3 linked regions of the Diceros bicornis minor genome follow. The protein of the gene in region 1 interacts with the protein of each later gene in a pairwise test. Links are inferred from orthologs where the notes say so. Each region holds a gene or a part of one and is shown on either strand. Other genes may lie near its edges.

The links.
Region 2: the proteins of SETDB1 (region 1) and MBD1 interact in binary tests that used the Homo sapiens proteins (3 or more experiments, as listed by UniProt). The link is inferred for Diceros bicornis minor from reciprocal best matches to the Homo sapiens genes SETDB1 and MBD1.
Region 3: the proteins of SETDB1 (region 1) and TSC22D1 interact in a two-hybrid assay, tested with the Homo sapiens proteins (2 studies listed by BioGRID and IntAct). The link is inferred for Diceros bicornis minor from reciprocal best matches to the Homo sapiens genes SETDB1 and TSC22D1.

The regions. Positions count from the first base shown.
Region 1 is NC_080743.1:55,270,763-55,281,030, forward strand, and holds the start of SETDB1 (histone-lysine N-methyltransferase SETDB1), read left to right. Parts: upstream 1-5,163; 5' UTR 5,164-5,327; intron 5,328-6,210; 5' UTR 6,211-6,222; coding exon 6,223-6,482; intron 6,483-7,158; coding exon 7,159-7,310; intron 7,311-10,268. UniProt on the Homo sapiens protein: Histone methyltransferase that specifically trimethylates 'Lys-9' of histone H3. H3 'Lys-9' trimethylation represents a specific tag for epigenetic transcriptional repression by recruiting HP1 (CBX1, CBX3 and/or CBX5) proteins to methylated histones.
Region 2 is NC_080755.1:42,769,956-42,781,033, reverse strand, and holds the start of MBD1 (methyl-CpG-binding domain protein 1), read left to right. Parts: upstream 1-6,562; 5' UTR 6,563-6,728; intron 6,729-8,171; 5' UTR 8,172-8,196; coding exon 8,197-8,306; intron 8,307-11,078. Other genes in the region: CXXC1 (CXXC-type zinc finger protein 1), read left to right, coding at 1-2, 843-961, 1,062-1,162, 1,473-1,708, 1,800-1,976, 2,387-2,413, 2,491-2,736, 2,903-3,010 and 7 more. UniProt on the Homo sapiens protein: Transcriptional repressor that binds CpG islands in promoters where the DNA is methylated at position 5 of cytosine within CpG dinucleotides. Binding is abolished by the presence of 7-mG that is produced by DNA damage by methylmethanesulfonate (MMS).
Region 3 is NC_080748.1:32,052,325-32,062,888, forward strand, and holds the start of TSC22D1 (TSC22 domain family protein 1), read left to right. Parts: upstream 1-5,821; 5' UTR 5,822-5,919; coding exon 5,920-6,152; intron 6,153-6,203; exon of another isoform or gene 6,204-6,380; intron 6,381-6,587; exon of another isoform or gene 6,588-6,688; coding exon 6,689-9,646; intron 9,647-10,564. UniProt on the Homo sapiens protein: Transcriptional repressor. Acts on the C-type natriuretic peptide (CNP) promoter. Acts to promote CASP3-mediated apoptosis.

The sequences.
Region 1 (10,268 bases):
GTTGTACCTCTTAATCCTCTCACCTATTTTGCCCATCTCCCACCCTCCTTCCCTTTGGTGACCACCAGTTTGTTCTTTGTATCTGTGAGCTTGTTTCAGTTTTGTTTGTTCATTTGTTTTGTTTTTTAGATTCCACATATAAATGAAATCATATGGTATTTGTCTTTGTCTGACTTATTTCACTTAACATAATACCCTCTAGGTCCATCCATGCAATTGCAAATGGCAAGATTTCATTCTTTTTTGTGGCTGAGTAATATTACGTTATATGTACTACATCTTTTTTATCCATTCATCTGTCAATGGACGCTTAGGTTGCTTCTATATCTTGGCTACTGTAAGTAATGTAAGTAATCTTGGCTACTGTAAGTAATGCTGCAGTGAACATAGGAGTTCATATATCTTTTCAAATTAGTGTTTTTGTTTTCTTCTGATAAATACCCAGAAGTGGAATTGCTGGATCATATGGTAGTTCAATTTTTAATTTTTTGAGGAACTTTCATACTGTTTTCCATAGTGGCTGCACCAATTTACAATCCCACCAACGGCGCATGAGGGTTTCCCTTTCTCCACATCCTCGCCAACACATGTTATTTGTTGTTGGCCTTTTTTTAAAACACAGCTGAAGAGTATTCCATTTTGTGGGTGTGCCATAATTTGTTTAACCAACCCCTGCTGATAGAAATTTACATTGTTTCTAAATATTTTGGGGGCTGGCCCTGTGGCTTAGTGGTTAAGTGCGCGTGCTCTGCTACTGGTGGCCCGGTTCGGTCCCGGGCGCACACCGATGCACCGCTTCTCCAGCCATGCTGAGACGGTGTCCCACATATAGCAACTAGAAGGATGTGCAACTATGACATACAACTATCTGCTGGGGCTTTGGGGAAAAAAAGGAGGAGGATTGGCAATAGATGTTAGCTCAGGGCTGATCTTTCTCACAAAAAAAATAAAATAAAATAAAAATTGTAAAAAAAAAAAAAAAATAAATAAATATTTTGTTCTTTCAAACAATGTTGCAGAAGATAATTTAGCAGTCTTACATCATTTCAAAGATATGTATACTTAAAGGTATGCAATTTCAGAAGTAGGTAGTTTAATTCCTAGAAGTTGAATTGCTGATTTAAAGAGTATTGCAGAATTTACAAAATTTTTGAATTAGTTGTCAACATTCAAAACTCAGAAGCTTTCATATAAAAAAATATGGATTTTTAACTTCATTTGAAAAATTGGAAATTTGGCAACATTGTATCTATTAGACAGGATAAAAATTAACTGGAGCTAAGTAGCAACTGCTCTCTATAGGAAAGACATGTATTTCCTAGGTGACCCACCCCATTTTGCTCATTTACATTACTTTCCTGATGCCTGAAACTCTTTGAGTTTTAATCTCTTTAATCTTCTTTAGATTCTGAGATCACTCAACAACCTTTAGGTTATGATTTAATTTCCCTTAAGTCTGACTGTATGGGAAGTATCATTTGGCACTCCAAAATTTTGGCTCCTGTGCTATGATTTCTTATAGACAAGTATTAAGTAGCATGTGGTTGTAATTTTTCAATGTATCACAACAGATTACAGGAATGAATGTGCTAAGCACACCAACATGAGGATTCCAATGGGTCTATTGGTTATCTATTACTTTATATTATTAAACTTCGATAAACTGTCTACCACAATAATTGTAAATTTTAATAACGTGAGTCGTTTATATCAGGGCCTGGTCATCTCTGACAAGAGTTAGTCTTCAGACCTTAGCAAAAACAAAGCCAGAGGTTGGCTCCCTAAATATTGAGGCCCTGCCCTAAGAAGGGTTATACAGCTCAAATCTGCCTTTCCTACAGTGCTTCTGAAATTTTAGTGAGCAAATTACCTGAAGGTCTTATTAAAATTCAGATGCTTTTTTTTTTTAAACTGTATTTTCTTTATTTTTTTCCCCCCAAAGCCCCAGTAGATAGTTGTATGTCATAGCTGCACATCCTTCTAGTTGCTGTATGTGGGACGAGGCCCCAGCACGGCCGGAGAAGCGGTGCATCGGTGCGTGCCCGGGATCCGGGCCCGGGCCGCCAGCAGTGGAGCGCGCGCACTTAACTGCCAAGCCACAGGGCCGGCCCAAAATTCAGATTCTGATTCAGTACATCCTGAGTGGGGCCAGAGATTTAGAATCTCTAACAAGTTCCCTGATTGCACGTTGCGTAGCAAGACCTTAAAAGACACTTCCTGAGTCCCACTGCTAATTTCTGTTGGACTGACCGCTTCAGCCTTCTCAGGACAATGAAGAAATCAGACTGGAATATGATGCCCCAAATAGCCCCTGTTCTCTTCAACATTCCCCATTCCTCATTTCCACCCCCACCCTACCCTCACACACATCAGAAAGCTGAGAATCCAACTAACAGAAACATAACCAGGGCAGAGCAAATCTTTCCCTTCCTTCATCACATATTATAGAGCACCACATGTACAGAGCAATATGTTAGGTGCTAGGGGAAACAAAGATGATTAAGACAGGACCTCAGCCTTGAGTTGATCACAAACAAGCAGAGGAGACAGAGATATACAGAGATACCTCACAAGTGGAAAGGAACGAAGGTAATAGAAGCATAGAGGCAGGATTTAATTCCACAGGGAGTGAGGGAGGGTGTAGGACAGTGATTCTTAAGCTGTGGTCCCAGTACCAGTAGCATGGGCATCACTTGGGAAAATGTTAGACATGCAAATTCTCAGACTTCCCCCAGACCTACTCCAGGGGTGGTGTGGGGGCAGCAATCTGTTTAATAATCCCCCCAGGTGATTCTGATACATGCTAAAGTTTGACAATCGCTGGTCCACAAAAACTTCACAGAGAAGACATTTGAGTTGGACCTTAGAGAATTAATATTTCATCAGACAGAAAGGGAAAGGGCATTCCAGGAGATAGATCACAATGAACACAGGTATGGAGATGTAAAAGTGAAATGTATAAATATGTTGGGGAAATAGCACATAATCAGGAGTGTGAAAGGAGGAATGGAAAATATAGCCAGAGAGGTAAGCTGGGGCCAAATTATGAAGAGCCTCAAATTTTATACCATGAAGTTTGAACTTTATAGACATAAAGAAAACACAGTTTTAAAGCAGGAGAGTGACATGACCAGAACTGTATTTTAGACCTACAGATAGGATTGATTTACAATAAGGCTCCCAATCAGGAGGCTATTTTGTGCTGGCAAGAAATAAGAGCTAAACAAAGGCAGTAGAACAGAAAAAGAAAGGAGGGAAAATATGTAATAAACATTTTCAAACTAGTATAAACATGTTGTACTGAATAACGGTTTAAGACCACAAGCTGTAGGGCCAAACTGCCTGGCTCTGACACTTTTTAGCTCTGTGTGGCTTTGGAAAATTTAATTCTGTGCCTCAGTTTTCTCATCCATAAGAAAGAGAAACTAATAATAGTTCCTACCTCATAGGATTATCATGAGGAGTAAATAAATTAATAACATAAAGTGCTTAGAACAGTGCCTGGTATGTAGTAAACACTCAATAAATATTGTGTGTGTTTTATAGGGAGTATTACGTATAAGACTTCTAGCTCAGGCTAGAAGATAATACCACGATGAGATGAGTTTGGAACATGCCGAATTTCAAATATCTAGAGGAGCCCTTCATTTCTCTGTACCTCAATTCCTGATGTCTTAACAATTGGACTTAGGTACTTAGGGTGGTCCCAGGAAACTGGTGGACAGGTGAAATGAGCACAGGTAAAAGTGTGGTCAACAGGAGCAGATTTCAAGGACTTGGATAATCCTTGCTGCTCGGGCCTTGTTTCTAGTCTTACATAGAAGGTTCCAGTTTATACTTTTTAGATGTAGTTAGGTGCAATTAGTGTAAATGTAGCTGAACAAATTAAAGCAATAATGAGATACTATGGTAGTCAATAGTGCTGGTTCATCAAATACACCTAGTTCTTCTTCCTCCCAGAGATGAGACATGACTGTTCTTCCCAGCCCCCTTGTGGTTGGGTAGGACTTTATGACTCATTCAGGCCAATGAATCGTAAATGAAAGTGTCCTGAGTCATTTAATTGCCAACTCAAGACCTTCTAGCATTCTCTCCCTCTAGCATGACTTACTCATCAACCTGGGTTCCTGAGTAGCTATCATGAGCAGAGCTCCACTGTCAACTTTCTAGGGATGATTATGCAGTGTGAGCAAGAAGTATGCGTTTTTTGTTTTAAGTTCTTGGAGTTGTTTGTTTCCACAACATAACCTAGTCTATCCTGATACAGATACTATTTTAACACATACCAAATTCTTAAAAATTAAATAGTTAACGTCCAATCCTAATGGGGGTGTGGGGAAACAGATACTTGCAGAGACTTGCTAGTGGAAGCAAAAATTGTTTCAACCTTTTTGAAAAGTAATTTGACAGCAGATTCTATTAAAATGAAAAAAGTACTTTTTTTCCTACTCAGATTTCATTTTGGGGAATCTCTTCTACAGAAATAAAAGTACTACTTCAAAACGATGTTAATGTTTATTGTTGCATCATTTGTAGTGGCTAAAAACTGAAAACAATCTAAATTTCTAAATATGGTTTAGCCATACTATGAAGTAGTATGCAACTGTCAAAAAGACAATTTTTTTCCTTTTTATTGACTTCAAGGGATGTCCACATGTTAAACGAAAACAAAACAAAAATCCATATGCATGACCTTGTACCTACAAGCCTAGAAAACTGAGCTGTTTTACCTCAAAGGAGCAGGGATGGTAAGTGGTGCAGAGAGGAGAGGATATTATCATGTTTTTCTTATTACATCTTAATATTCTTCCACTTGTTACAATTTGTACGACTTATGTAACAAACTCAAGTAAAAGTGAGAAAAAAAATCTAAACCTAAGAGTGTTTGCCCACTGAATCTTTACACAAACAGTATTTCTGCCACTGGTTAGGGGTAGCGGAAGAGGCAGAGCTTCTGTAATGTACTGCAGGCCACGCCTACTTTACCCTGCCAGTTGCTTCTCACGTGTGCCCTGGAAAGCTCTGCTTGGACGCATGCGCACTCGCCGAAGTTTGCCTAGCCTCTGAGGGGCACCCGGCGGCATTGGGTTTGACCCCGTCAGGCTACCGTCGTGGCGACCGGAAGAGCACCTGAGGTTTGCTTCCGGGCGTCTCTTTTGCTTCCCCTTCCCTCCCTCACGCTTTTCCCCCTCCCTCTGCTCCTTTTCCCTTCAGTTTCGTTCTTTCCCATCCAGGCCGACCCCTGAGTCGTGAGTCTGGGGTCTGGTTGGTGAAAAAGAACTGTTGTAGCTGGAAGCAGGGAGGTGTGGAAAATACTGTTAATTGAGGTATTTGGAGAACAAGGGCTTGTCTGGAATGTTTTGTTTGTGGGAGGAGGTCGGGCGAGGGTGGGAAGGAGGTCTTCCCCGAGAGGCGAGCGGGGGCGGGGTCGAGCTGGATTTGCGGGTGGGTGGGACGCACCCCTAAAATGGGTAGCACGGGGGTGGGGCAGTGTGTGGGCAAAGGAAAAATGGAGGCGGTGAGAACTGGCGCTGGGGTCGCACGGCGTTCTGGCATCGGTTTTGCTTTAACCATTTGAGCAAAAAAGCAGTTAACACCAACATGTGGGTTATTTAGATTGTAGATTTTAGGTAGCCGCATTTTATTTCCAGATTGTTTAATTTCCGTTAACTTTGAGGACACCTCTTTGCTGCAAGCTTTTGTGTGCTTAAGTATTAGAGACTTTTTAAAAAGTAAATTTCCACATGGAAGCAAAGTAGTGTAAGGGGAACAAGTAATTAAACAGAAAACGAATTAGTGAGTTATAGACCAACCTCTCCCCTTCAGGTTGGGGATATTTGTTCAAATTAGGTATAGCATGCAAAGATTTATCTTATTAGTCAGTTAAGGAACACAGATCACAGAAATATCTTCCTCAGTAAATTGATTCTCTTCAGTTTCCTTTTATTTTCAGTAGCTCCCTGTTGCATAATATATGTTCTCCATGTACTCTCAAACTTTTAAATCTTATTCAGGCATATAGTCTATAGCATGAGATGAGAACTCTACAAAATCTCAGCATCAGATACTGGAGAATGGGGAGAGAGAACATAGAATCAAACCTAACTATATTTGAATAACAAGTAGCAGAGTAGGAATGAGTTTTATTAGGGGACTGAAATTATGGTTATAATGACTCCAAAGGTAATTTTAGTTTTCTGTTCCATGTAGAGGACAAACAGTATGACCTCCCTCCCCGGGTGCATTGGTTTGAATGCAGCAACAGCTGCAGTGGGGTCTGAAGAGATTGCAGAGCTGCAGAAAGCAGTGGTTGAGGAGCTAGGTATTTCTATGGAGGAACTTCGGCAGTTCATTGATGAAGAACTGGAAAAGATGGACTGTGTACAGCAGCGCAAGAAGCAACTAGCAGAGTTGGAGACATGGGTAATACAGAAAGAATCTGAGGTTGCACACGTTGACCAGCTCTTTGATGATGCATCCAGGTGAGGGCTACATAGGAAATAGAAGGAATTCTCTCCAGTGGCAGACGTTTTTAAAGTATAATTGTTCATGGTGTGCCAAACACTTTATACTTTACAAAGTATGGATGTGTAGAACCTTACTCTTCGTCAAAGGGTAGGGTCCAAAATCTGACCTCATGAATATAGAATATTCATCTATCAGAGGCTAATATATGATCAGCAGTAGAGGAGTCCAGGTCTTGAGTCCCTTCCCCTTCTTCCTCCTGCACTCTACTTCAGAACAATTGCTTTGTTTTCTTTGTAGAATCAAGGGGGACTGTAAAGAGTTGCTGTCTTAGGTAACTGTGGAGCATTAATAAGTTCCTAGAGACCTATATGTACTCCTAAACCCCTAGAAGATTTGTTTCTGGTGCCCTAGTTGTCACTTAGAACACATTTTCAAATAACGACAAGGTAAATAATGAGGTAAGATTGAAAGGACCTACTTTGGGCTTATTTTGGATTTTTGAGGAACTAGTCTGGAAACCACTATTTAAATATTTTTCTATGGGAAAAACATTTTAAATTCTAAACAGACACTTTGGAATATGGCCTGTTTAAATTGAGGTCACTGTGTAGTTAAATGTGTATAAATTCTAATGGCTCCTACACCTGCTTTTGCTGGCTTTGACCTTTTCTACATGTGTTCCACTATTAGGGCAGTGACTAATTGTGAGTCTTTGGTGAAGGACTTTTACTCAAAACTGGGACTACAATACCGGGACAGTAGCTCTGAGGATGAAGCTTCCCGGCCTACAGAAATAATTGAGATTCCTGATGAAGATGATGATGTCCTCAGTATTGATTCAGGTGAGAGATGAGGCTGTGGATAGGAAAATCTCAGGATTGAAATTGAAACACTGGAAGATGAGCAGATAGAAGATAGAAGAGAGGAGAAACCATTGTTACTAACTCCATATCCCAAACTGTTGGACTTGTCACAGAAAAAAATAGAACGTTGTTAGTATCATAGATGTCCCCTAAGTGCTACTTCCTGATGGAATTACCCTCCTTTCCCCATTCTATATAACCTCTATTCTGAAATCCTTTGCTTTTCTTTATAGGTGGCAGTAGCACCTATGTATGTGTATCTCAAAACAGTATATTGTTTGGTTTTGTCTATTTTTTAACAATTTGTTTAAGGTATAATTTACATACTGTAAAATTCACCCACTTTAAGTGTAGAGTTTTGTAGAATTTATACAGTAGTACAGTCTTCACCACGGTCCAGTTTTAGTACACTTACCTCACCCCAAAAAGTTCTCTTGTGCCTGTTTGCCATCAGTCTCCATTGTCACCCCTAGCAACCACTGATATGATTTCTTTCTCTAAAGTTTTGCCTTTTCTAGAAATTTCACATAAATAGAATCACAATATGTTGTCTTTTGTATCTGACTTCTGTCGCTTAACACAGTGTTTTTGAGGTTCATCCATTTTGTTGCATGTATCAGCAGGGTATTCCTTTTTTGCTGAATAATATTCCATTGTATGGCTATAACACGTGTTTTTATCTGTTCCTCAATTGATAAACATTTGGGTTATTTCCACTTTGGGGCTACTGTGAATAATACTGCTATGAACATTTGTGTATAAGTCTTTATGTGGATGTTATGTTTCATGTCTGTTGTATATTCCACCTAGGAGTGGAATTGCTAGGTCTTATGGTAAGTGTATGTTTGAGTTTTTAAGAAACTGCCATACTGATTTCACTCATCTATGGAAGATAAACACATGGACAAAGAGAGCAGATTAGTGGTTACCAGAGGGGAAGGGGGTTGGGGGGTGGGCGAAAGGGGTAGACGGGCACATATATATGGTTACGCATAAAAATTAGACTGTTGGTGGTGAGCACAATGCAGTCTATACAGAAACTGATAAATAGTAATGTACACCTGAAATTTCACAATGTTGTAAACCATTATGACCTCAATAAAATAATCTAAAAAGAAAAGAAACTGCCAAACCCTTTTCCAAAGTGGCTATACCATTTTACATTCCCACTGCCAAAGTATGGGGATTCCAGTTTCTCTACGTCCTTGTCAATGCTTGGCATTGTCAGTCTTTTATTTTAACTGTTCTATTAGCTGTTTAGTGGTATCACACTGTGATTGTAGTTTACATTTCCCTAAGGACATTGAGCATCTTTTCACATACTTATTTGCCGTTTATGTATGTTCTTTGAGGAAATATCTATTCAAATCTTTTGCCTTTTTTAAAAAATTGGGGGTTTTTTTGTCTTTTTATTATTGACTTGGAAGACTTATTATACTTTAGGTATAATTCATTTATCAGATATATTTTATAAACATTTTCTCCTAGATGTCTTTTCATTTTCTTAATGGTGTCTTTTGAAGAGTAAAAATTCTTGAGGTAAGGGTTGAGGGTGCTTTGTTTATGGCTGTCCAGTTCTTCCACCACCATTTGTTGAAAAGACTACCTTTTTAGATAATCAACTAGCCATATATTTGAGGGTCTATTTCTGGATTCTATTCTGTCGCATTGATCTAAAAGTCTATCTTTGTAATGGCACCACACTGTCTTAATTACTGTAGCTTTATGGTAAGTATTAAAAATCATTTAGTGAAAGTCCCTCAAATTTATTTGTATTTCATATACATGCCAAATAAATTTTAGGAACAGCTTGTCAGTTTCTAACAAAAAAAATTTTTTTTAACCTGCTAGGATTTTTAATAGTTAACTGTATTGAATCTAAAGATCTATTTGAGGAGTATTACCTTTTTAACAAATACTGAGTCTTCTAATGCGTGGACATGGTACATCTCTCCTAAGTATTTTATTCTTTTTAATGCTAATGTGAATGGGATTATTTTCTTTTTTTTTTTTTTGGTGAGGAAGATTAGCCCTGAGCTAACATCCGTTGTCAATCCTCCTCTTTTTACTGAGGAAGATTGGCCCTGGGCTTACATCTGTGCCCATCTTCCTCTACTTTATATGGCACGCTGCCACAGCATGGCTTAACAAGCGGTGCGTCGGTCCACGCCTGGGATCCGAACCTGCAAACCCCGGGCCACTGAAGTAGAGCCCGAAAACTTAACTGCTACACCACTGGGCTGGCCCTCTTAATTTCACTTTAGGAGTTTGTTGCTAGGATATAAAAAATGTAGTTGATTTTTGTGTTTTGATCTTGTAGCCTGTGACCTTATTAAGCTCATTTATTCTAGGAGCCTTTTGTGGATCCCTTAGGATTTTCTATGTATTAGATCATGTTGCCTGCAAATAAAGTCAATTTTACTTCTTACTTTCTAACCTGGATGTCTTTTATTTATTTTTCTTGCCTTATTGTACTCACTAGAACCTCCAATACAATATTGAATAAAGGTTTTGAGAACAGACATTCTTTTCTTGTTCCTGATCTTAGGGGGAAAGCATTTGGTCTTTAGGCATTAATTATGATGTGAGCTATAGGTTTTTTGTAGATATCCTTTATCAGATTGAAAGAAGTTGCTTCTATTCCTAGTGCTGAGAGATTTTATCATAGCTGGATTGAATTTTAGATTTTGTCAGCTGCTATCCTCAGATGACCACATGGCTTTTGTTCTTTATCCATTATTAGGGTGTATTACAATAGTTATTTTTTGGATGTTAAACCAACCTTGCATTCCTGGGATAAACCCTCTGCCCCCCACCCTGCCCCTTTTGTCTCAGTGTGTAAGCCTTTTATATGTTGCTGTGTTGGATTTGCTAATATTTTGTTAAGAATTGCACCTGTGTTCATGAGGGCTATTGGTTTGTAGTTTTATTTTGACG
Region 2 (11,078 bases), on another chromosome or scaffold:
TGGTGAGTACGGGTCCGGGGAGGGGGTCGGCAGTAGAGGTCAGTCGGGTTGGTAATGGTGGGGTCCGTCGGCAGACTCACGGGGGTCTGTGGGGAACCGTAACAGGAGTCTGTGGGCAGAATGGTGCGGCCTGTGGTGAGCCTCAGCAGGGGTCTGTGGGTAGTATGATGGGGGACTGATGGCCTGATTTTTTTTCTGCTGTGTGAGTTTTGTGGGAGTCTGGGAGTTCTGTGATGAGCCATGTGGGGATCCGGAATGGAAGTTTAGTGGGGATCCCTGATTGTAGTTCCGGGGGGCCCCAGATGGGGCTTCTTTAGGCAAAGTGATAAGGGGTTTGCGACGAGCCGTATTGGGCACTCAGTAGTGAGCCATGATGAGTGTATTAGGGGATCCGTAGGGAACCGGGATGGGGGCAGGGTTGTCAGTGGGGTTAATAACGGGAGATCTGTGGAGAGCTGTGTTGGGAAGTGAGTAAATCACGTTGGTGTCTGACAACCTGTGGTGGGGTCTGTGAGGAGCCATTTTGGGGGCAATATGTGGTGAGTGGTAGAGTGTAATGAGCCCTTATGAGTGTGTGGATAGAGTGATGGGGTGTTAGCCGGCTAAGTAATGGGAGATCTGGGGCAGAGTGATGGCGTTTATTAGCAGAGTAACGGGGTGTCAGGGGTGAGTGGTGGGGGAGGTCTGTGGAGACCGTGATGGAGAGGTTTGTGAGGAGCTATGATAGGAGGTCTGTTGGCAGAGTGTTGGGGTCTGTGGTGCGCCATGGCGGAGCTGTAATGGAGGAATGAGACACTATGATGGGCGTTCTCTAAGGAGCCATAATGGGGGACTTCCCACAGGAGGGGGATGGTTCAGACCCAGAGCCTCCAGATGCTGGGGAGGACAGCAAGTCGGAGAATGGGGAGAATGCGCCCATCTACTGCATCTGCCGCAAACCGGACATCAACTGCTTCATGATGTGAGCCGGGGAGAGGTGGGCGGGGCTGACACCTGTCAAGGTTGGGCAAGGCCATAGGTCCGGCCCCTCATATCTCCACCACTCGCCCCATCCTCTGCAGCGGGTGTGACAACTGCAATGAGTGGTTCCATGGGGACTGCATCCGGATCACTGAGAAGATGGCCAAGGCCATCCGCGAGTGGTACTGTCGGGAGTGCCGAGGTGAGGGGGGTGGAAAGGACAGGGCAGGCAAGTGGGACTTCCAGGGAGAAGGAGGAGCCATAATGGGAGGGTGGGTCGTGGGGAGTAGTGATATATGTTCTTGGGCAGAGTGAGTGTTGGTCTGTTGTGAGCTAAAGTGAAGGCTCCATTGTGAGCCATAATGGAGGGTCCCACCAGAGGGGGCAGTTCTGCCCTGGACTAGGGGGACAGAGCAGGTGGGTGGGACAGAAAAGGAGAGAAGAGGAAGAAGAGTTCTGGGACCATCGAAATCCTCCAATGTCACCCCCCGGCTCCCCGCTCTGCTCCATAGAGAAAGACCCCAAGCTGGAGATCCGCTATCGGCACAAGAAGTCACGCGAGCGGGACAGCAATGAGCGAGACGGCAGTGAGCCCCGGGATGAGGGTGGAGGGCGCAAGAGGCCTGCCCCGGATCCGGACCTGCAGCGCCGGGCGGGGTCAGGGACAGGGGTTGGGGCCATGCTTGCTCGGGGCTCTGCTTCGCCCCACAAATCATCTCCACAGCCCTTGGTGGCCACACCCAGCCAGGTGAGTGGCTGCAGTGGCTGGGATAGATAAGGTGATCCCACCTCAGGTCCTACTTGAGTTCCTGATTTCTGTTCTGGGTCCCTCCCCCCAGCATCACCAGCAGCAACAGCAAATCAAACGGTCAGCCCGCATGTGTGGTGAGTGCGAGGCCTGCCGGCGCACTGAGGACTGTGGCCACTGCGACTTCTGCCGGGACATGAAGAAATTTGGGGGCCCCAACAAGATCCGGCAGAAGTGCCGGCTGCGTCAGTGCCAGCTACGGGCCCGGGTGAGCCTGGGTGGAGTTGGGCAGGGTCAGGTGGGGTGGAGGGGGCCAGTGTGTCCAGGAAGAGCTAAAATGGGTGGGCCGGGTGGGGTGGGGCCTAATTGCATACAGACAGGTGGGAAGGAGCCTGGCCTGTCCAGATGAATGGGGCCTGACCAGGTGTGCTGGGCCAGCAGGGGAGCCCCCCAAACCCAGGTGGGCAAGATAGGGCCAGATGTTTCTAGGTGATCAGACATGTCAGGGCAGGGAGGGCAGGGCTGAGCATGTCCTGGTGATGAGGGGAGAAGGGGCAGGTGTGTCTGGGGAAGCAAGGCAGGGCTAGTTGGTGGGGCCAAGCACTTGTGGGAGGGGCTAGGGCAGGGCCACCCTCCATCTACCTGGGGCTGACCTGGGCCTTCCTCCTGCCGGCACAGGAATCGTACAAGTACTTCCCTTCTTCGGTGAGTCCAGCCTCCCAGAGCGGGGCAGGGCATGTGGGCAGGGCAGTCAGGGCCAGTCCTGAGATTCTGCCCTGCAGCTCTCGCCAGTGACACCCTCAGAGTCCCTGCCAAGGCCTCGTCGGCCACTGCCCACACAGCAGCAGCCACAGCCATCACAGAAACCAGGGCGCATCCGTGAGGATGAGGGGGCAGTGGCATCAGCAGCAGTCAAGGAGCCACCTGAGGCTACGGCCACGCCTGAGCCACTCTCAGATGAAGACCTACCACTGGACCCTGACCTATACCAGGACTTCTGTGCAGGGGCCTTTGATGACCATGGCCTGGTGAGCAGGCAGGGTCCCGTGGTGGAAGGGTAGAGGTTACAGAAGTAGAGAGTATCCATAATGAGAAGAGAGAAGGCAGAGGATGTGGAAGGCTGATTTGGGAACTAAATAGTTGGTGGGGTAGTCATGGGTGGTACAGATGGGCCAGTGTCTGCCTCACCTGCAGCCCTGGATGAGCGACACAGAGGAGTCCCCATTCCTGGATCCCGCACTGCGGAAGAGGGCAGTGAAAGTGAAGCATGTGAAGCGTCGGGAGAAGAAGTCTGAGAAGAAGGTGATGGAGAGGGTGAAATGGGTGTGGGAAGGCAGAGGGTAGGGTGGGGAGGGAGAGGCAAAGGCTAGGGGCCGCATGGGGCAAGAGCCAGGAAGGGGTGGAATGCAGGGGGAGATGGGTCTGGGGCAGACTTCAACTCCACCCTGACCTGAACTGCCTTGTCCCATAGAAAGAGGAGAGATACAAGCGGCATCGGCAAAAGCAGAAGCACAAGGACAAATGGAAACACCCGGAGCGTGCTGATGCCAAGGACCCTGCATCGCTACCGCAGTGCCTGGGGCCTGGCTGTGTGCGCCCTGCCCAGCCTGGCTCCAAGTATTGTTCAGACGACTGTGGCATGAAGCTGGCAGCCAAGTGAGTCATTCCTGGGGGGTTCAAGGGACACAGGGAGTACGGGGTAGGGCATGACCAGAGCCTTCTGTATGTCTGCCAGTCACCTGTCCCATTTAGTCAACTAGGCACCCACTTATCCATTCACTCACTCATCCATCTATCTGTTCACCCTTCCATCCACCATTCAGCTCATCCATCTACCACTCAGTCAGCTATCTACTTATCCTTTCACCATTTAGTCACCTATCCATTCTGCCATCCTTGGGTTATCCCACTTACTCATCTTGTTGTTTGCCACCTGCCCACACCCAACCCACTGCCTCCCTGCAGCCGCATCTACGAGATCCTCCCCCAGCGCATCCAGCAGTGGCAGCAGAGCCCCTGCATTGCTGAGGAGCACGGCAAGAAGCTGCTTGAACGTATTCGCCGTGAGCAGCAGAGTGCCCGAACCCGCCTTCAGGAAATGGAGCGCCGATTCCATGAGCTTGAGGCCATCATTCTGCGTGCCAAGCAGCAGGCTGTGCGCGAGGACGAGGAGGTAAGCAAGCACAGGCACAGCAGTGCAGGGCCCAGCACCTGGTCCTGCCCATCCTCATTGTTCCTTCTACCCCATGCAGAGCAATGAGGGTGACAGTGATGACACGGACCTGCAGATCTTTTGCGTCTCCTGTGGGCATCCCATCAACCCACGTGTTGCCTTGCGCCACATGGAGCGCTGCTATGCCAAGGTCAGGTGTTAGCCTGAGGGGTAGGGGACCCTCAGTGGGCCCATGGGCGGTCAGATGTGTCTTCTGGGTCTTGTCTTGGGAGGGCATGCAGCACACATCCACAGTTCCCTCCACTTGTGCTCATCCCTCCAGTATGAGAGCCAGACGTCCTTTGGGTCCATGTACCCCACACGCATTGAGGGGTGAGTGTGGGCGCCACGTGGAATTAGAGGAGGGAGGTTAAGGCTGGGTTCAGGAGTGGAATGGTGGGGCAGGATATGGGCATGGGCAAGGATAGGTGGGCCCCCCTCCTCTGTTTCCATTACCCTCTCTCAACTCTAAACCGCCAGGGCCACACGACTCTTCTGTGATGTCTACAATCCTCAGAGCAAGACATACTGTAAGCGGCTCCAGGTGCTATGCCCTGAGCACTCACGGGACCCCAAAGTAAGGTTTCCCCCCAGCTTCCCCATTCTGTCCCTCCTCCCTTCCTATTGCCCCTTATTTAGCCCTTCCTTCCTCTCCTCCTTTCTTGCTTTTTTCTACCCGCCCACTTCCATAACCCCCACTTTCCCTGCCTCATCACCCTCATTCCTCCTCATCTTCCTGTGTCATCACCTTCTAGTTCTCCTGTTTTCCCTGCCCCTTCATCCTCTAGTCCTCTCCCTTTCCATTCCTTTCCACTCTCCCCTGAACTCATTCCTTCCCTCCTTCCTCCCTGACTACTCCCAATCCTGTTCTCCTTCCTGCCTGACCACCCCACATTCATCCCCATCCCCTGGTCTCCTTGCAGGTGCCAGCCGACGAGGTATGTGGGTGCCCCCTTGTACGTGATGTCTTTGAGCTCACAGGTGACTTCTGCCGCCTGCCCAAGCGCCAGTGCAACCGCCATTACTGTTGGGAAAAGTTGCGGCGTGCTGAAGTGGACCTGGAGCGCGTGCGTGTGGTAGGTTTTGATGCTGGATGTGGCCAGGGTCCAGCTGGGCTTCTGGAGCCCCTTCTCATGTCGCCTTCTGCTCCCCTGGCAGTGGTACAAGCTGGACGAGCTGTTTGAGCAGGAGCGCAATGTACGCACAGCCATGACAAACCGGGCAGGACTGCTGGCCCTGATGCTGCACCAAACGATCCAGCATGACCCGCTCACTACAGACTTGCGCTCCAGTGCCGACCGCTGAGCCCTACTGGCCCAGAGGTCCTCACACCCTGCATTCCAGGCGGGGGAGCTGCCCTGAATCCCCCATTTGACTGTTCTGCCATTCTTCTGTTTCTCCAGTCATCCCTGAGTTTCTCCCTGTGCCTGTCCACCATTTGCCCCTCTGCCCTTAACAGAGGGTCTCAGAATTTTCTCCTGTTTTTGTCTGTTCTCTGTCTCTCCATTCTTTGTGCCTGGGTGGGACTGTGGAGTCTGCTCACCTTTGCCTTCCCCCTCTCTTGGTTTTGTTAATAAAATTTTGAAGAATCAAGAAAGATAACTACTGATGGTCTCCACACTTTATTCAGTTACAAAATCTCTGGGGTAGATGGGGCGTGGCATACCTGTACTCAGGAGGGGCTGCAGTGTACAGCTGGCACCCACTCTGCTCTGCAGACCCCCCCGCCCCCTGTGGGCTGTGGGGATATGACCTGCTGAGGGAGAGCCCAGTGACCTACATTCTCAGCGTCTCATTTTGAGACAGTGGGTATACAGTCAGCATTCATTCAATGTCTAGCCGATTTGCCACTCCTGTGTGAGCGTTAATATTCTCCAGACCAGAGGTGTATTCAATGATGGACACAAAGCCTCCTCTTTCTCCACAAACCCCTCTTTTTGGAGATGCATACAGCAGGAGCCCACCGAGTTTGTGCCGGGAACCCCACCCCGCCCTCTCTTGTTGTCGGGTCCACTCGGCCCCACAGCGCGGCCTTTCCCGGATGGACCTGGCCTTCTGTTTACCTGCAGCGCGGCATCGCCCCCTTCCCGGTTCCTGCGGCAGGAGCGGGCGCCGGCGCGCGGCGTGACTTGTCTCCGCGCTCCTGCAACTGTTCAGCGAGGAGGAGAGCGCAGGGCACAATAGGCCTGGGGGAGATGTTCGGAGGGACCGGAGAGCACAGGCTCGACCTAGGCGTGAGGTGGGAGAAGGCGGCTCCGCACAACCCCGGGCTTCGCCGCCCCTCCCTCCCGGTTACTCCTTGCGGAGACCGCCAAGGAGTAACCAGGCGCGCTCGACCAACCCCAACCCTCCACGCCCCCTTAGGTTGGGACTGGAGAGCGCAGGCGCAAACGAGGAGGGCGGGGTGGGAAGAACGCGCCGGTTGGCGAAGCGAAGAGCGCAGGCGCTACAGGTCTCCGCTAGGGGCGCGAGCAGTAGTCGGACGTCAGCGAGCAAGCGCAGCAGGTCCCCGGCAAGGGACGCGCGCCGCTGCGGGACTCAGCACGCAGGCGCAGGGTCCTCCCTAGTAAGGGCTGGTGCCGGCACGGTATTAGCGCGCAGGCGTCCCGCCGGGGGCGGAGCCCAAGAAGCGGGCAGTGTATTTCCGGTTCCGGGAGCAACGAACGGCCGCGGCGGCGACAGCTACCGCTTGAGGAAGAGGCTGCGGAGGAGGAAGAGGAGCAGGGCAAGGCGGGAGTCACAGGCGGGACCGTTGTCATGGGTCCGCGGACCTAGAGCGGCGGGAGCTACCGGCCCGGTGCCGAACTGGTGAGACAGTCGTGGGGGTGGAAGTGGAGAGCGCTGAGGTGGAGGATGGGGAAGAATTGAGGCTCAGAACGCTGACGGAGAGGAATGAAGGGCCCTCAGGCCCATGAGTGGGAGGAATGGCGGCGTCGGAATATTGAAGGGGAGGAATGGGGAGATTTAGGCGGAGGGCGGGGAGGAATGGCGCTCGGAACACTGACAGTTGGTAGTGTCGGGATCCTAGACGAGGACGGAGAGCAATGGAGGAGGATTCGAACGCTGAGGGGAGACATCGGGGCCTTTCAGGTTAAGGAGAGACAAGTGAGGGTTCGGGACGCTGAGGGGGAGAATTGAGGGGCCCTCAGGTCAGTGAAGGGGAGAAAAGGGGGCGTTGCGATGCTGAAAGGGAGGAAGGAGGGACCCATATGGAAGACGAGGAGAAATAGGGAGTGAGAACGCTGACAGTTAGGGATGGCATGATCCTGACGCAGGAACAGAGAAGAATGGAGGCTTCGGAATGCTGAGGGAGAAGCCAGGGTCTCTCAGGCAGAGGAGAGGAAGGGAGGAGGAGAACGCTGAAGGGAAGGAGTGAGGGAACTTTTCAGCTGCAGAGGAGAGGAATAGGGAGGTTTGGGGGCTGAGACTGGGGAGTAGTTGTGGTTCAGAACACTGACAGAGAGGGGAAATAAGGAAGGGGAGGCTTTTAGGCTGAGGAACAGAAGGAATGAAGGCCTGTTCAGGTCAAGGATATGGAGGAGTTGGGGGCTCTCTGGCAGAGGACATGGAGGAGACTGGGGCAGTGACACTGAGGTAGCAGGATAAGAGGACATCAGATAGGGAAGAAATGGGAGGGTTAAAAGACGTAAAGAGAGCAGCTGGGGACTCCTGGGTCAAGGAAGGGAGTGAATAGGAGGTCAGAACACTGAGGTAGAGTACTAGGACCTCAGTCTGAGGACGAGCGGAATGGGGGCCTCTTGAGCTGAGGATGGGACGAATGAGGCCTCTCAGGCTGAGGATGGCGAGTATGGAGGTTTCGGGGTGACAGACGGGAGGAATAGCAACCAGTGGGTCACAGACAGAAGACAGAGAGATTGTCTCCTGGGCCTAGGACAGGGAGAAATGAGGGGGAAGGATGAAAGGTTCCTAGGTTGGCAGTGGGGAGAAACGATGGGCTCTCAGGCTGAGGATGGGGAGGAATAGGGGATACTGAGGAATCAGGATACTGAGGAATGAGGACCCTTGAATTGAGAATGGGGCTACCAAGTCAGGAAGGGGGAGGAGTGACAACCTCCTGGACCCAGGACAGGGAAGAACGGGGGTTTTCTCTTCCTTATATTGGCCAGTTGCCTGTGGCAGGTCCTAGGTCTTGGGCAAGCATTAATAGATACTAGTGGTTTGTGTGGTCTTGGTCACAACAGGTCCCCTCCTAGAGCCTTGGTTTCTCCCATTGCCTCCTCCACGTTGCAGGGTGCTGCTGCTTCCCGTGGCCCCAATGGCTGAAGACTGGCTGGACTGCCCAGCCCTGGGCCCCGGCTGGAAGCGCCGTGAGGTCTTTCGCAAGTCAGGTGCCACCTGTGGACGCTCAGACACCTATTACCAGAGGTACTGGGTGGGTTGTGGACAGAGTCGGGGTAGGGCTGAGCCTGGTTAGGCAGGGTGAAATCAAGGGGTGTGGTTAAATTTATGGGTGGGGTTAAAATTAGGTATATACAGTCAATCTTCATTATTTGCAGATTCCGTATTTGCAAATTCGTCTACTCCCTAAAATTTGTTTGTACCCCAAAGTCAATACTCACTGTGCTTTCATGGTCATTCGTGGATGTGCACAGAGCAGCAAAAAAATCTAAGTCACCTGATGCATGCATTCCTAGCTGCCGTTGAACGAGGGCCTTCTCATTTCAGCTCTTATGCTGTAAACAAGTGTTCTTTTCACAGTCTGCTTAATACCATGTTTTTCTCATTTTTGTACTTTTTGTTGGTGATTTTGCTGTTTGTGATGGCCCCCAAGCATAGTTCTGAAGTGCTATCTAGTGTTCTAAGTGCAAAAAGTTCATGATGTGCCATAAGGAGAAAAATATGTGTTAAATGAGCTTCGTTCAGGTGTGAGTTGCAGTGGTGTTGGCTGGGAGTTCAATGTTAATGAATCAGAAACACTGTATATCTAGAAAGAAAAGAGGAAATATGCCTATTTGTACATGAAGCTGCTCCAGAAAGTGCTAAAGTAACATCTATAGTATGTGATGAAGCCAAGGAAAAGGTAAAAAGTGGCTAGATTTGTGGATCTGTGAGATGTCCAGTGAAATAAAGTGTAATGGACAGTGTTGTGAGGCTGAAAGCCAAGGACAGTGACAGTCGTGTTACCCAGGGTTAGGAAAATGTTAAACCTATCTGAGCTAGTGCTGGCTGGTTCACACATTTCAAAAGGTGATAGATACATCATGAAAAATGTTAAATTTGTGTGCAAGGCAGGTTCTGCAGATCAAGTTTCCAGAAGAATTTTAAAAAATACCTGCTAAGTGTTATTCGGGAAAAGAGTTATGTTGAAGAGTAGGTTTTCAATGCTGATAAGACTGGCTTGTTTTACCAAGTGTCAGTGCAGATAATCAATGATCATTCTATAGTAAAGTAAAGACGAGAGCTTTATTCGTGACAAAACTGAGGATTATAGCCCGGGAGTCACAACCTTCAAAAGTGAAGAAAGTGCCCTGGAGAAGAGCGGTTTTTGGCACAGTTATATACCATTTCAAAACAAAGATACATACATCAAGCATGACGGACACATTCCTTCAAGGGTTCAAGGAGCACATACACAGCAGATCAACATGACTCTGGTGTCATGGGAAGGGAGACTCATCTTCAGAGAATACTGACATCATAAGAAGGGAGGCATTTATTCATTATCTTCAAAGAGTACATTCCTTAGGGTAATAATTAAAACAGATGTGCAATGTGCCTTTGACAGGCTGTAAGTGGGGCTTCTCTGGTTCAAATAAAATTCAGGCCAGATCAAGTTTAAACCAGAATGGCTTCCCCATATACTTCAATATATAAAATTTCTTATGTCAAAGGACGTTGGCAAAGGAACCTATGTAACACAGATGGCCTCCAAAGCTCCTGGCTTTAAGTCATTCAGAGGCCATGCAGTTCATTATTTGTAAGATGGGTATATTAAATAGGGTGTCTTTAAACAGAAACACATAAAACAAGGTTACATATTGATCACTTGACAAAAGTGTTGTGACCAGAGGCTTGCAGGAACCTAACTTGTAGTTCCACTAGGAGCAGTTGTTTTGTATTTACTAATGTAGTGTTCAAGGTGACTTTATAGAACGTAACTACCATGAATAATGAGAATCGACTATAAATATGTAAACGTACATGTTTATCAACAGTTTATGCTTAAGGATTTAAGGTGTTTAAGGATACATTAGTGATGTACTTATTAAGTTTTTTACACTCTTCCTGAACTGTTTTTATATCTAAGTTGCTGTTTTCCTGAAGGAATATAGTAAAATTATAAATACAATTACATTTGTTTATATTTAGTTGTAAATTTATTTTCATATTTGCAACTTGGATAAAACTTTCAAAGTTTATAAATATAAGTGTAATTATCAACAACTGTAAAAGATCAGAGATTTTACCCTAATTAGGGCAAAGTAACAGGTGGGTATGTCACAGTTTTGTGGATGCTGGTAGGAGATATGAGACTCCTAGGTCAGAGATGAAAGACAGTTTACTACTCACAGCAATAGCAGTATCCAGAATATCAGTTTTGTGCCAGTTCCCCTAACACCAGTTCCCAGAGGGTAACATGAAGAGGGCTAACTACCACCTGCACATACACTGGATTGTGTTGTAGGAAAGGAACCCTGAGTTTAAGGAATCTAATTTTTTATAATGTTAGGACGGTAAGGATGCCTTCCGTTTACTGTGGAAGGAGACCCTATCTCTTATCTTCCAAGGCTGTTTGCTCTACAAACATCCTTGAAAAGACAGTTCATAACAAAGGACAACCAGTGCCACTCTGGCAAGACATGCAGAAATGCAGGAGACCTGTGGAGTATCGTCTCCCAACACCAGTTATTTATACTTTATTTTGTATGTAGTTGCATTCATTTGTTTACACATATATTTGTGTATGTACATTTATTTACATGTGTATTTTTCAACATTTGTTTATTTAAGTTTACTTGTTTATATATTTAGTATGTGATGCTAACATATTTACATGCTGTTTGATATATTTGTGTTCCTATTTGTGTTTATTTTCACCTATATAGAATACCGTTAGTAGCATATGTTATAAATATGTGCATATTTGCATTTGTATTATTTATTAGTGTTCGTGTACATGCTGGTATTTATACACCT
Region 3 (10,564 bases), on another chromosome or scaffold:
GGAAAGCTTTGTGGGCATCTTTGCAATTAGCTTTATATTTAACCCCTGAAGAGGCTAAGTCAGCTATAGATTTAATTTTCTTGAGCTTGACAAGTGTGTATATATTGTATGTAACAAAACAAATGAATTTTGTTGGGCTTTTCCTCCTCAATTCCATCTCAGGCTTTTCTCTGAAATTCCAACATTTCCTCTTTAATCATTCTAATTTTACCATCCATATAGAAAGGTTTTGTAAACACCTTCCACATGTAAACAGTACCGTGGTCTTTAATGTTCTGTGGTAACAATATTAACAGGATTTTATCTTGTGCTCCTGACTCCAATTTAGCTTGCATGTCTCTAAGATTTTCTTTTCTTCTTTTTTTAAAGGTATTAAAATCTGAGAAGATTTTGGCCTTTAAGACTAATGATTTCCTGTTTTTCTTCTACAATGCAACTGTAAATGTCAATTTAAGTATAAGTTACTAAAAATTACTTTATCAATTTTCTTCTCCTAAAAGATAAGTCTGAGCAGAGGGAGATAATGAATGATTAAAGGAAAATTCCACACTACAGAATGATTTCAACAGCCTTTCCTTTTCCCTTGAGCTTTGAGACTTGAGATATACCTAAGTGTTTGTGAACCTAATCTTTAAATACAAAGAAATACTGGCTGCTATGATTTGTTTGTACTTCTTGACCTGGTTTTGGTTCAGGTATGGTGGAAGGACATAGGCCTTATTAGAATTATGATACAAACAAATATGATAAATGCGTTTATTTCTGTAACTTTAAGTCTCTAAAAAAATGTACAAATACAAATTGGTCCTTAGAACATGCTGGAAAAACTAGGTTATTATAGTCTCTATTCTAGAGGCTCTCGTGTTCAATAAATGCTAATTGCTAAAATGGGAAAACATTTATCTTGTCCTATATAGACAGTGTTCCTCAATTATGTGTGATTAATGCCTTTTTTCGAGCATTTGACATCTGTTTTTGATCAGTGAAGGATCATTCAACTTATCAAATTGTTGTTCTGTTCATTTATGTCCAATTCCTGTGGCCACAGTAGAGTCTCTAAAATGTACACTCTTTCTTAGAATGTCTCTGCATCAAGAGAAAATGATGCTCCTAGATTCTTTGGAGATGTCTAATTAGAAAAATTAAAACATGAGTATTCTGTAGAAATGTAACTTGGGAGCTAGACTTGACAGGAGCCTGACTGAACACTATGTCTTGGAGGCAGCTGTGAATGGGTGGTTACACCGCAGGGATCAGTATCTTAGCCCCACCACTTGCCAAGTTGGAAGACCTCAACCTCTCTGCATCTCACTTTCCTCATTTGTAAAATGGGGTAATTATAGTTCCTACTTTATACAGTTGGGAGGAGTAAGTGAGATAAAACACTGAGAGCATTTAGAACAATGTGTCATATAGGGTAGACATTAAATAAACATTAGCTATCATCCAGGGAGATTTGGAGGGTTATTTGATTATAGACTTAAAAAAAAAATCTAAATTAACAAATTATTTTTTTTCACTGTTACTTCACACTTCTGTAGCAGAAGTTAGAAATGATTTTTTTTTAAGTTGTGGGAAAATTCTCCAAATTAACACATTCATAAGTCAGAAAAGACTGACTGTAGAAGAAGCTGTAACATTTACATTGGTTCAAACAGGGAAAAAGTCTTTTATCCTCTTCATGTAAAAGAAATGCTGTATGCAATTAGCGTGTGTGCAGCACATCTTCCTTGACATTTAAAAGCATTAAAGGAACACTCATTAATTTCCAAGAGAGTTTTGAAAAATACTAGTCTCCAGAGTTCAGACTGGTTTTTCAGAAAAATCCCTCAACACAGAAGCATGGAATCTGAAATTAAGAGGACCTGAGTATCCATATTTAGGCATAAACCTTGGACAAGTTATTTAACATCTCTGTGATCTCTTACTCCTAAAATAAGGCCTCCTCCCTCAAAGTAAAATTAAATGAGTATCAGTATGCCCTCTAAACCATAAATTCAAATTTCTGTATTTTTTTTGTTTTATAAGCTTATCTCCTTTGAGGATATAAAATTGTTTAGCTGGCGAGAAAAATACTTATATTGAAAATTTAACAAATGCTGCAAAAATTAATCAGTTATAAGCTAAACTATTCTCACTGAAATCTGAATGAAAAGTTTCAAAATAAGCTTTTTGTGCTACTTACAAAAGTCAAATGGCACATACTACTTTTCGTTTCATTTAAACAATTTTCTAGAGAGCAAATTGATTTATAAACTTGCTGCAACGCCTCTGTGCATAAGTTTCTTCATATGTAAAAATGTCTGATGTTTTACAAGTTTATAACTCATGCTTAAAAATATGACTTTTTTTTTTTCAGATGACATGTAAGGGTTACAGATAATATTGGCTGACTGAAGCACTGGTTAGCCAGAATAATTACTGGAGTGGAACAGTGGCATGTTTTCTGCACACATTTCTCTTTAACATCCATCTTTGCCACTCACAGCCATTCTATTTCACAGTTCTCACAAATAGGTAAATTGTGTTATAATGTTCAGCAAATTTTCTCTTTTATGGTAGAAAAAACACTAAACACAGCCAAACATACATGCTGGTTTGCAATGGTGCAATAACCAGATTTAAGTGAACACTGCACTACAGAGTAATCTTTTGTCAATGGACAGTAATTCAGAGCTACACCTTCAGAATGTAAACAGGTGAAATTCAGTCTTTCAAAAGGATAATTCGAAGTACTAGTCTCAAAGGATTTAATGACTTCATTACATGTAGGAGTATGTATTTAAAATTAATGTAAAAAAATCCAGACTTTTTTTATTAAAAGGTGGTAACATGATAACAACACCTGGCTGTTCCAAGTGCCTCTGCTTGTTTTAATGTACTTGTATTCACGTATTCCTGGTCACAGAATTGCTGGCAACTAGAAAAAAAGAGAGAGACACATTTTTCAAACTCAGGTTTCCATGATTGCAGAGTTGCTCTTATATCTTAGTGAGACTTGATGCAGCCTAAACAGGAATTTGAAAGTGATATGGCAGACAAAGATGAAATACATTTGAAAAGATCATATTTTCTTGTGTCTTATGTTATCCTGATAAAGTTTTTTTTAAAAACTTCCTTTAAAAAGAAATTATATACCCAATCCCTAACATCAAAACAGCCAAAAACAACAATACCCTTTACTATTGGTTATTACAACAAGTATCTGCTTTTATAGGGTCATCTCAACAACTCACTCTGTCAACTTTGGGTAAGACTTTATTATTTGTGTTTCTTCTGCTTCTAGTTACATCAGCACAATTATAGGGGGTATTTAAGTGGCCCAAGGGGTGTTGAGCTGTTGTTTGGGGTAATTTAAAACTTTGACCTAAGGCAACATTTTGAGAGATCAAGAGTGTTTTCTTTCACACTGCAGTCCAAAGAAATGTATTTTGCCCATCTACATTCCACTGCAGTTTCCACTGGTTAGGACAGTTTCTGTTTTCCATTCAAAACCTGTTGAAAAAGCATGTTAGATTTGCATTTCAACAATGAATGGCAGCCATTAACCAGGCATATCACTTGCAACAAAAATTGGAGTACTATGAAAGAAATTATTTTTGTTAAATACACAAATGGCCATAGCTATGTAAAATACAATCATTCATGTACTAATTAATGAATATCATAAAACAAGTACAATCTTTTAAATGTACTTGATTTTTATTACCATACCACTTTCAATATTTGTGAGCACCTACTTTTTACCTAGCACAGAGCTCCTCATTAGCAATTCAAAGCAAAAAAAGGCCGTCCTGCTTTTTTTGGGTTTATTGGAGGAGACCACAGAAGCAGCAACAATACATCATAGCTTTGATATATTGAGGATGTATTTCTATTCAATAATGTTGAGGGTGTATTTCTATTAATAATGTAAGAGATTGGTGATATTCTTAACTTTTTGAGGGATGGAATGAGGGAAAAAGTTTAGAGAAACCTAAAGGTAACATGTTGAATTGACAACTAGATGTCTACCAAAACTTAGACAGCTGTGCAAAAGACTACAGCCGTTTATGCTTTAACAAGCTCCTGAAATAGGATTGTAGATCCGTAAGTCTGTGAGATCCTGAATCAGAGGTCTAACCATAAACGTTTAGTCCCCCAACATCCTAAGTTAAAAAAATAAAAACTTCTCTCTGGGGTTTTCCATATTTGTTGCTATTTTTTAATTCCTGGGCGAGAGGTACATTCTCGCTTAGTAGTAAAAAGAACTTAGAGCTAGAATGTTTTGACGAGTAACGCCAGGGAAGCCACTTCCAGTAAATTGTCTCCAATCAAGCCTAACATTGCTTCCGTGGAACTATGCTCAGACCCACGCAGGTTTTCTTTTTTGTTGTTTATTTTTTAACTGGAATTGCAGATGGCTCTTTTTCCTTTCTAACCCTAAGAGATAGTCTTCATTTATCCTTGCAGTCGTGCTGCCACCCCGACTAGGCCACTTCGCCTTTTAAGTCAAACCTGCGGGGCTACAGCCTGGACAATCAGACGAAAAGCCATCCCTGCTGGAGAGAAGCACCACCTGTTGAGGTCAGTTTGTTTACTGGGTTGGGCTGCTTCTTCCCTCCAGGTAAGGATGGAAGGCAAGCACTCCCTCTCTAAAGAGAAGAGAAGCTCGGGTGGTTAACTGAAAAAGCTGCAACATCTACACGGTTGGCTCGCCCCTGCCCGTCGAAGGGCGAGGGGACCGCATGGCAGCCACTACTCCTTCGCACAAAAGGCAGCACCTATCCTGAAGACCACCGGCCTTCCGCGGACCCCGCAGCTCCCTGCGCTGGGGCATCCTCGGAAGCGGCGAGGGCGTCGCGGGCTGAGGGCGAGCCCAGGTGCGGCGAGGGGGAGGACTCCGCCACGCGCCGAGGAAGAAAGCCTGACTCATGTCGTGGCGGTGGCGGTGGCGGCGGCGGCGGGCTCCTGGGAACTGAAACTCGTGATGCTGTTGCTGCGGAGAAAAGCCTTATTACCAATTCCACAGGCGGGGTGGACACCATCCAGGGCGCGTACACCCGAGACCCGGGGCTCCAGCAGCCTCCCCGGGCCCCTCCCGGCCGCGTGCCCGCGCGCGCCGGCGCGTGTGAGAAAAGAGCGGACACACCTAGCCTGCGCGCGCGCCCCGCACCCTCCCCCACCCCCACTCGGGCCGACTCGCACAGGCCGACCCGGATTCGCTCCCCCGGCCGAAATTCCCCATCCCCACCACCCCAGGCGTCGGCGCCTCCGCCAGCCCTCGGCAATTTCCGTTAGGAGACCCAGCGCTCGGCAAGTCCCGAAGACCCGCCGCCTCCTTCTCCGCCAGACCCGGCTTTATGTCTGCGGCGCTGGGGCGCATGCGCAGACGCCATCTTCCTTCCTTCTCCTTTGCTTGCCCCTCCCCCCGCCACCGCCTCCGCCTCCTCTCGCCGGCGGTCGCCCCTCCTCCTCCTGCGCTCGGGCGCTGGTCCCTCCTCTCTCGCGGCCGCGAGAGACTGGGGGATACGGCGGCGCCGGAGAAGAGCACTAGTAACAACCACCACAGCCCCCTCCCCGCCCGCCGCCCTCCCTCGGCACCCACCCACTCACCCGCCCCGTTTGCCGACACCGACCAACCCCACCTCTCGTTCCTTTGAACGGCGTCGGCTGCAGGCGTTGCACCAGCCCGTCTGGCCACCAACGCCGCCGAGAAAGGAGCCGCCGCCGCCTGCGGCCCCCTCCCGCCCGGGCCGCGGGAGCAGCGGGGTGAGGACGAGCCGGCTGCGGAGGAAGAGGACCAGAGCGGCTCGCACCCCTCCGCGCTAGCGCACGTCCCGCCGCCCTCCGCGGAGGCTTGGGCGCCGGCCCCTTCCTCCCCGAGGACGTGTGCCGAGCCGAGGCGCCTGCCCTGAGGGAGGAAAATGCTCAGGCTCCATGGCTGCCAGTGATGGAGCGGTCCCTGGGCTCCCGCTGCCACCGTCGCCGCCGCGCCCCGGCCGTGCTCCGCGAGGACCCGGCGTCTCTGCGCGCCCGCCCGCGCCTCGTTGCTGGGTTCACCGTACCGGGCGCCCCGCCGCCGCCCCGCTCCGAGCCTCGCCGCCCCGGCCCCAGCCGCGGCCAGCGTTTCCTCTCGGAGCAGCCGCCGCGAGCCCAGGGGGTTTGAAAGGGTCCGCGGGGCGTGGGGGGAGGGCCGAGCGGGGACAGCGGGGCCGGGAGGGGAGGTTTGAGCGACACTGAGCTCGGGGCTCGCTGGCGGCGGCGGCGCCGGGGGGTGGCGAGGGGAAGGCGACACTCGCTCCGCGCTGCCTTCGTGCAGAGCGGCCGGGAGGGTTTTGCAGCGGCCGCCGCCGCGCCGGGAGAAGTGGTTGAGGTGGCTTCTGAGTTGTCTGGAGAAGGTGGGCATTTCTCAGTTTTCCCACCCCCTGCCCGGGTCTCCCCCTTCCCTTCTCTCCCCCCTCCCTCCTGCCCCGCACCCCACGTGAAGCGGAATATAAAGGGGGGTGTGAGACTAGAGGGGAAAGTGAATGGCGAAGGACTGAAGGGGTCCCCCCTTCGGGTCCCCGGCCGCCCTGTTCACCCTCGTTCATCCTCCCTTCCCGAAGCTCGCCCTCGAAGGCAGCAGCGACCAGCGCCTTCGGCTGAGGAGGAGGAGGAGGAGGAGGAATCGCGCCGGGCCGAGCGTCAAGTCCCATTTTCCTCCTAGGCGTCTTGAATACAAAGATTACGGTGCAGAAGGAAATTGCACTCGCCTCCTCCGCCCCCCGGTACCCGACACAATGCACCAGCCGCCTGAGTCCACCGCCGCCGCGGCCGCTGCAGACATTAGTGCTAGGAAGATGGCGCACCCGGCAATGTTCCCTAGAAGGGGCAGCGGTAGTGGCAGCGCCTCTGCTCTCAGTGCAGCAGGTACCGGCGTTGGTAGTAGTGCCACATCTTCCGAGGATTTTCCGCCTCCATCGCTGCTCCAGCCGCCACCTCTTGCAGCATCTTCTACGTCGGGACCACAGCCTCCGCCTCCACAAAGCCTGAACCTCCTTTCGCAGGCTCAGCTGCAGGCACAGCCTCTTGCGCCAGGCGGAACTCAAATGAAAAAGAAAAGTGGCTTCCAGATAACTAGCGTTACCCCAGCTCAGATCTCCGCCAGCATCAGCTCTAACAACAGTATAGCAGAGGACACTGAGAGCTATGATGATCTGGATGAATCGCACACGGAAGATCTGTCTTCTTCCGAGATCCTTGATGTGTCACTTTCCAGGGCTACTGACTTAGGGGAGCCTGAACGCAGCTCCTCAGAAGAGACTCTAAATAACTTCCAGGAAGCTGAGACACCTGGGGCAGTCTCTCCCAACCAGCCCCACCTTCCTCAGCCTCATTTGCCTCACCTTCCACAACAGAATGTTGTGATCAATGGGAATGCTCATCCACACCACCTCCATCACCACCATCACATTCATCATGGGCACCACCTCCACCATGGGCACCACCATCCATCGCATACTGGTGTGGCCAGTACATCCGTTCCTGGAGGGCCACCCTCAAGCCCAGTATCCAGAAAACTCTCTACAACTGGAAGCTCTGACAGTGTTATACCAGGTGCCCCAACTTCTGCTGTATCATCGGGTGGCTCACCTGCATCTGTAATGACTAATATCCGAGCTCTGAGTACTACCGGCAGTATAGGTATAAATTCTGTTACTGGCACTAATACGATGAATAATGTAAACATTAGTGCTGTGGGTACTTTTAATCCTAATGTGACAAGCAGCATGCTTGGTAATGCTAACATAAATGCAAGCAATATTCCTAGTGCTGCTAGTGTGAGTGTTGGGCCTGGAGTTAGCAGCGGTGTTAATGTGAATATCTTGAGTGGCATGGGCAATGGTACTGTTTCTTCCTCTGCTGTTATTAACAGTGTCCCTAATGCAGCTGCAGGGATGACTGTGGGATCAGTTTCAAGTCAGCAGCAACAACCAACCGTTAACACGTCAAGGTTCAGAGTTGTGAAGTTAGATTCTAGTTCTGAACCCTTTAAAAAAGGTAGATGGACTTGCACTGAGTTCTATGAAAAAGAAAATGCTTTACCTGCTACAGAAGGTGTGATAAATAAAGTGGTGGAAACTGTAAAACAGAACCCAATAGAAGTGACTTCTGAGAGGGAGAGCACTAGTGGGAGTTCAGTGAGCAGTAGTGTCAGCACACTGAGTCACTACACAGAGAGTGTGGGAAGTGGAGAGATGGGAGCCCCTACTGTGGTGCAGCAGCAGCAGCAGCAGCAGCAACCAGCTCTTCAAGGTGTGGCCCTTCAACAGATGGATTTCAGTAGCACTGGTCCACAGAGTATTCCAGCAGTTAGTATACCACAGAGTATTTCTCAGTCCCAGATGGCACAAGTACAATTACCGTCTCAAGAATTGAGCTATCAGCAAAAGCAAGGTCTTCAACCAGTACCTCTGCAAGCCACTATCAGTGCTGCAACTGGTATCCAGCCATCATCTGTTAATGTGGTTGGTGTAACTTCAGCTTTAGGTCAGCAGCCTTCCATTTCCAGTTTGGCTCAACCCCAACTGCCATATTCTCAGACAACTCCTCCACTGCAAGCTCCCCTTCCAGGGGCACCACCCCAACAGTTACAGTATGGACAACAGCAGCTGACTGTTTCTCCACAGATGGCCTCAGGCCATGGTAAATCAGTGACTCAGAATCCTACTTCAGAGTATGTACAGCAGCAGCCGATTCTTCAAACAGCAGTGTCCTCCGGGCAGCCCAGTTCTGCAGGAGTGGGAGCAGGAACAACGGTAATTCCTATGGCTCAGCCACAGAGTATCCAGCTGCCAGTGCAGCCCGCCGCAGTCCAAGCACAACCTGCAGGGGCATCTGGCCAGCCTGTTGGCCAGGCTCAAACAGCAGTATCTGCTGTACCTACTGGCAGTCAAATTGCAAATATTGGTCAACAGGCAAACATACCTACTGCAGTGCAGCAACCCTGTACCCAAGTCACACCTTCAGTTATTCAGCAAGGTGCTCCTCCATCTAAACAAATAGTTCCACCTGCTCAAACTGCGAGTATTCATCAGGGAGTTCCAACTAGTGCTTCAAGCCTTCCTCAACAGTTGGTCATTGCACCCCAGAGTACCTTGTTAACTGTGACTCCCCAGCCACAAGGAGTAGAATCAGTAGCTCAAGGAGTTGTTCCTCAGCAGTTGCCTGCAGTTAGTCCTTTGCCCTCTGCTAGCAGTATTTCTGTTACAAATCAGGTTAGTTCAACTGGTCCTTCTGGAATGCCTTCTGCCCCAACAAACTTGGTTCCATCACAGAATATAGCACAAACCCCTGCCACTCAAAATGGTAGTTTGGTTCAAAGTGTTAGTCAACCTCCCTTGATAGCATCTAATATAAATTTGCCTTTGGCACAACAGATACCACTAAGTTCTACTCAGTTCTCTGCACAATCATTAGCTCAGGCAATTGGAAGCCAAATTGAAGATGCCAGGCGCCCAGCGGAACCCTCCTTAGTTGGCTTACCTCAGACTATCAGTGGTGAAAGTGGGGGAATGTCAGCAGTTTCAGATGGGAGTAGCAGCAGCCTAGCAGCCTCTGCTTCTCTTTTCCCGTTGAAGGTGCTACCGCTGACGACACCCCTGGTGGATGGCGAGGATGAGAGGTAAGATCATGCTATGTTTCTGCAGACATTCAACAGATTCAAAGTAAATCTATTTAGTACCTATGTATATATATGCACAAAATTAGTGTAAAGCATATATTCATTTTTGTATGTGAAAGTGCGTTTTCATGGTAAGTTTTCTAGAGCAAGAGTGTTATTGAATGGTTTCAGAGTGGATAGGAAATGGTATAAGTAATATGTAAATAATATTTGACAGAGTAGTGAGCATTAAGAACAGGTTTGGGGGCACCAAGTGATTTTTGTTATTTATAAAATGCTTTTTAGTAAGATTAATTACGAACAGAAACTTAACTTTTGCTAAGTCATATAGTTAATCTATTCTTTTGAATTACTAAAAGTCTATGATCATCTCTTGGTGGGGGTTGTGGTTACCGTATTTGTTTCTCCTTTACTAGACTGGACAGTCCTTTTCAGTTCTCCTGTGTTGATCTTAGTCTGTGAAAGATACTGTTACCTGCCTCTCCTAGTCAGACATGATAGGAAAGATGACCTAATCTGGGTTACATAGGTTGCCCTCATACTGTAATTGACCAACTTTTGTGTATTTAATGGTCATTTTATCTGAACACTAAGGGAATGGTAATCTTAAAAAGCATTTTGTAGGAAAGAAGGGCATGCACTGTCAAAATAACCAGATTTATCTTTAATAGTAGTATGCTGTACATTTTTCCTTTTGCACAGTTAATCAGGGTGGTAGCCATTTTAAAGAGTAAAGAAAGAAAATCTTGAGGGGTTATATTTATAGAGGTGTGAAAATAAGACTTTGTTCTCTTGCTAATCTACTCTACCTGTTCCCTTCTTCCTTTACCAAAAAAATACATAAAGCCTAAAATACATTACTAAACCATTGTTTTCTTAATTGGATTGGAAATAATGTGCTAATCACACTTATTGAAT